2 linked regions of the Xenopus tropicalis genome follow. The protein of the gene in region 1 purifies or fractionates together with the protein of each later gene. This does not show direct contact. Links are inferred from orthologs where the notes say so. Each region holds a gene or a part of one and is shown on either strand. Other genes may lie near its edges.

Region 1 (2,389 bases):
ATGTTTTTTAAGGTGTGTGTATTTTGGGGCAAATTTTAGCCTGAAATACCCTTTATGTGCGCAGACAGGTGTATGCAAGTAAAGGAAATGGCAGAAGCAGTGCAAAGTAGGCACCAACATTTTTCTGTCGGCCGATGATCCACCAACTAGTCTTATAACGTGAATGGCAATTTAAAAAAAAAAAAAAAATATTTGCATATATATATATATATATATATATATATATATATATATTATAGTTTACATGTAATGTAATGTTTTGTTTTAATGTGTGTACTGTTTGCTTCCACAGGTGCAAACTGAAGTATTGCAGAAGAGACAGAAAGAGAAATCAGCCATGATGACACAAATTAAAAAATACCAAAAAGGTAAGAGTTTGATTAAATGACAGTTAATTATGTTGTATAATATGACTGCATAGTACAGTTAGGAAAAAGGAATTTCCCTTGCAGCATTTCAGTGTATAATGTTGTCAAAGTGTTTATCTTTCCTGAAAACAAAAAGAAATGTTGTCTAAAGTATGTTAGTTTTACTTTACTTCTTTGATAACTAATAGCACACAGTGTGTTTTGGTAACACTACTTGCCATAGTAATCTACAGGAACTGTGGTGCCTGAAGCCCACATATCGGTGAAAAACTGAAAAGAACATTTTGATGGCCTGGTGTCAGCAGTAGTCAAACTGACTGTAATCTAACGCTATTGGCACTTTTTGTTCTTCAGTGGGGGTATCTGGTTTCTTTCTGGCAAACAGCAGAAGCCTATTTTGCTTTACAGCAGGGCCTTTATTTATTTTCCCAGGAATGCAAAACACTTTCCTATAAGGCAAAGCAGAATCAAATGGATTTTTTTTTTTTTTTTTTTTGAAAGGCTCATAAACATTTACTACACTGCTGCTGCAATACCTGTGGATGGCTTAACAATGAGAGTAAAAGAAATGAGGAGGTTTAATGTAGCCGACGCAAAAAAATACATAGCTTTTAGAAACTACATAAATGCATGATATCTGAGCAACTAACATAATACAAAAATAGCTGTATAAATCTTGTCTAAACAAATATTAGTAATTGTGTGATTACAGTATCTTTGTATACACCTCTTGCTTTGTAATATACTTGAGTAAATGCAAAAGTACAACTCTTTAACAGGTCTTTCAGATAAATTGGATTTTCTGGAAGGGGACCAAACTCAGAAGAAGAACAAGACTGGTGGATCCGCTGCCCAGAAGGCTAAAAAAGGGTATGACACAGACTATATACTAAACTGATAGAATAAGGTGCATTTCTGCCTCTAATCATGCTAAAAATTATGTACAGGCCAAGTGCAAAGCGACGCTACAAGGACCAGAAGTTTGGCTTTGGAGGTAAAAAGAAAGGCTCAAAGAGAAACACAAAAGAAAGTTACAACGATGTATCCGGTTTCCGAGCTAGTGTGGCACATGGAAAGGGACAACGCAGGCCTGGGAAGAAGGGTGGCAAAAATGCTAATGTAAGTAAAGCATATAATAAAAATAATGTTTTACATGCAGTATGGTCCAGGCTTCTAACATAATGTTTCATTGTCTCTTGTAGAAAAGACCAGGTAAAAAAGTAAGACAGAAAATGAAGAGCAAAACCAGATGAACAGAAGAAATGACATAATGGAATGATGACCTTTTTCTCCAACCCAGTTCACTGCTACATCCATACTAGCAGCAAATTGCTTGCTACCTAGAGACTGTACAGACCTCCAACAAAGCCATCTTCTTATGGAAATTTGGAGAGATGCAGCTGTAAACTTTGCATTTGTTTTTAATTCTGCCATAATGCTGAAAACTGGCATTAAATATGGCTAGGTTGTGTGTGCCAAGGTTTTGAGAAAAAACTGCAACAATAAACGATGTACAATGCCGTAATTTTTTTTATTGCAGGTGATTACATTAATAGGTGCTGTTATTAATTACAACATAGTTTGAATTACAGAGCAGCACATCCCGATCAACTGACATTTGTACTTCGCAATACTGGTTTTAGGGAAACTAGGAGAATGATCATCTTCAGCCTTGCAGCGTCTAAACATCGCTGTGTGACTTTTCCTCTACTGAATATTTTCGCTTTGTTCTTTAAGGCGCCATGCTGTCTCCATATATTTCGTGATTTCTGTTTTCTCTCGAAAGAAGTGTAAGCGTCTATCTGTTCGATCACTGGTTATCTGACCAAAAGTAAAAATTGTTGAATGTTACATGTATTTCTCATACATACTGTTGCTGGACACAGGAAAATAATTTCTGTTAACTTGGATGCAAGACACTCTCAGTAGAAAAGTAAGCCCAAATGAATGAGCTGAGGTGGGTGGGTATAATTTCTACTTAAGTTGATGCTATACTAAAACTACAAGAAGCTGTGCTGAGG
Region 2 (2,853 bases), on another chromosome or scaffold:
GTGCTGCCAATCAGTCTACTGACCGGATCAAAGGAGAGAATCGGCCGCGAGCCTTTCAGGCAGTTCCCAGACATCTTCAGTTCTGCCAGTGTGTGAACTGCAAAAATGAAAGGCATCATGGGTTAGCACCTGAATATACTCAAAACAACAGCTCCCAGCTTTCAACCAACCACTAAAATTCACAGGGCAACAAAAACCAATGCAGAGGAACAATGAGATCTTTATCAGCTACACAGGGCACAGAGCAGCAACTACTATAGGATTAACTTACTATTCTGAACCAAGAACTTAGCAGAGGGACCCTCGGGGGAGTTGGATAACCTGCAAGGAAAGAAACATTTTAGACACACACATCTACTTATTCTAGGTTACTATCAAGGCTTAGAATGTGGCATTTATAGCCATCGCCCACAGGCTATACACATCGCCAGGCATAAACATTTGTACATACAGCTACACACCACACTAGTAACCTGCACGCTCAAATAAGAATCTGCTTGTTCATTACCACATATACAGATCCTGCTTCTTCTTGGCTTCAAAATAGATGCACTTATTGCAGTTCTTCATTTCACAGACCTAGAAACAAGGAGAAAGCAAATGAAGAAATCAGGAACAAGTCCCTAAAACAGGCCAGTAACCTGGTTTCTACTCTAACCTGATATTACATCCTGGGCTGTGGGCAATTAGAACATACTATGAGTCTCCCAAATATGGCATTAAATCTCCTAAGTGTCCCACTTGTTACCTGCAAGTTTTTGCTATGCAGTATTTGACTAGCAAGAGACTAACTGGATAGCAGGTATAGTAGGGATAAATGGTGCCTATAGTAGCAATGGGGGGATAATAGCCCCTGGGAAGGGACTGGGGCTGTGGGATAGCAGGTATAGTAGGGATAAATGGTGCCTATAGTAGCAATGGGGGGATAATAGCCTCTGGGAAGGGACTGGGGCTGCGGGATAGCAGGTATAATAGGGAGAGATGGTGCCTATAGTAGCAGTGGGATAATAGCCTCTGGGAAGGGACTGGGGCTGTGGGATAGCAGGTATAGTAGGGAGAGATGGTGCCTATAGTAGCAGTGGGGGGATAATAGCCTCTGGGAAGGGACTGTGGCTGTGGGATAGCAGGTATAGTAGAGAGAGATGGTGCCTATAATAGCAGTGGGGGGATAATAGCCCCTGGGAAGGGACTGGGGCTGTGGGATAGCAGGTATAGTAGGGAGAAATGGTGCCTATAGTAGCAGTGGGGGGATAATAGCCTCTGGGAAGGGACTGTGGCTGTGGGATAGCAGGTATAGTAGGGAGAAATGGTGCCTATAGTAGCAGTGGGGGGATAATAGCCTCTGGGAAGGGACTGTGGCTGTGGGATAGCAGGTATAGTAGGAAGAGGTGGTGCCTATAGTAGCAGTGGGGGGATAATAGCCTCTGGGAAGGGACTGGGGCTGTGGGATAGCAGGTATAGTAGGGAGAGATGGTGCCTATAGTAGCAGTGGGGGGATAATATCCTCTGGGAAGGGACTGTGGCTGTGGGATAGCAGGTATAGTAGGGAGAGATGGTGCCTATAGTAGCAGTGGGATAATAGCCTCTGGGAAGGGACTGGGGCTGTGGGATAGCAGGTATAGTAGGGAGAGATGGTGCCTATAGTAGCAGTGGGAGATAATAGCCTCTGGGAAGGGACAGGGGCTGTGGGATAGCAGGTATAGTAGGGAGAGATGGTGCCTATAGTAGCAGTGGGGGGATAATAGCCTCTGGGAAGGGACTGTGGCTGTGGGATAGCAGGTATAGTAGGGAGAGATGGTGCCTATAGTAGCAGTGGGGGGATAATATCCTCTGGGAAGGGACTGTGGCTGTGGGATAGCAGGTATAGTAGGGAGAGATGGTGCCTATAGTAGCAGTGGGATAATAGCCTCTGGGAAGGGACTGGGGCTGTGGGATAGCAGGTATAGTAGGGAGAGATGGTGCCTATAGTAGCAGTGGGGGGATAATAGCCTCTGGGAAGGGACTGGGGCTGTGGGATAGCAGGTATAGAAGAGAGAGATGGTTCTACCCAGTAACCCTAACGCCAAGTAGAAGCAGAAACATTAATGACTGGCAGGTTACTCACCTCATTTACTACAAACAGCTTGTCCTTACGGTCCATTTTTGTTTCTGCAGAGAGTAGGGGGAAAATCAAGGAGCAAAATTAGCAAAATTGACATTTACTGATCTAAAGCAGTTAGTAGAATGAAGACAAGCATCTTACTGGTTGTTATGGGACAAAGAAAATGCAAAGGTACAAGGCCTTGTATAAAGCTACTTAGGGACATAAAGAGACAGACAGAGGCTGTGCTTCTTCCATTAGGGCATATAGGTATTAGATATATATTTAGAGAGAGAGAGAGAGAGACACAGACAGACAGACAAACAAATAGGGGCTGCACTACTCCCACCTGCTTTTGTGTGGGGCATTAATGTCCGGAGGTCCTGCATTAAATGCCTGGTTCGGAAATTGATGCCACGGGAAGAGAATATGAGCACCCTCTCTTTGTTCTTCCATTTGCCCTGAGAAGAAATAAGACAAAGCACAAGTCCTTTAGCCCCTCTCTCTGTGTGCACCGGGCAAACTTACCCCCTGAGGCGCCTCGCGTGTCTTATGTCCAAGCATGGGGGGTGTAGGGGAAGCTTTTTTCCTTGCACCTCCTATATTGCCAGGATGCCAAAGTAAATGAGCAGCTCATGGCACTAAAGGTACAATACGCCACAGCACTCAGTGACCTACCCACTGCCATTCCCACCAGGGAACAGATACAGGTAACACAGTGTAGTGGTTTCAGTGCAAGTTATGGTGCAACCCCCCTGGGGCCAGGAAAGGCA

The links. The genes of interacting proteins can lie anywhere in the genome.
Region 2: the proteins of ebna1bp2 (region 1) and brix1 purify together in Homo sapiens (affinity purification with mass spectrometry; 4 studies listed by BioGRID and IntAct, counting the BioPlex papers as one, with this or other methods). This does not show direct contact. The link is inferred for Xenopus tropicalis from reciprocal best matches to the Homo sapiens genes EBNA1BP2 and BRIX1.

What each region holds. Positions count from the first base shown.
Region 1 is NC_030680.2:88,299,921-88,302,309, reverse strand, and holds the end of ebna1bp2 (EBNA1 binding protein 2), read left to right. Parts: intron 1-292; coding exon 293-368; intron 369-1,147; coding exon 1,148-1,238; intron 1,239-1,315; coding exon 1,316-1,487; intron 1,488-1,570; coding exon 1,571-1,621; 3' UTR 1,622-1,889; downstream 1,890-2,389. Other genes in the region: fam183b (protein FAM183A), read right to left, coding at 2,076-2,189. UniProt on the Homo sapiens protein: Required for the processing of the 27S pre-rRNA.
Region 2 is NC_030677.2:199,187,566-199,190,418, reverse strand, and holds part of brix1 (ribosome biogenesis protein BRX1 homolog), read right to left. Parts: intron 2,542-2,853; coding exon 2,430-2,541; intron 2,149-2,429; coding exon 2,105-2,148; intron 580-2,104; coding exon 509-579; intron 322-508; coding exon 272-321; intron 98-271; coding exon 24-97; intron 1-23. UniProt on the Homo sapiens protein: Required for biogenesis of the 60S ribosomal subunit.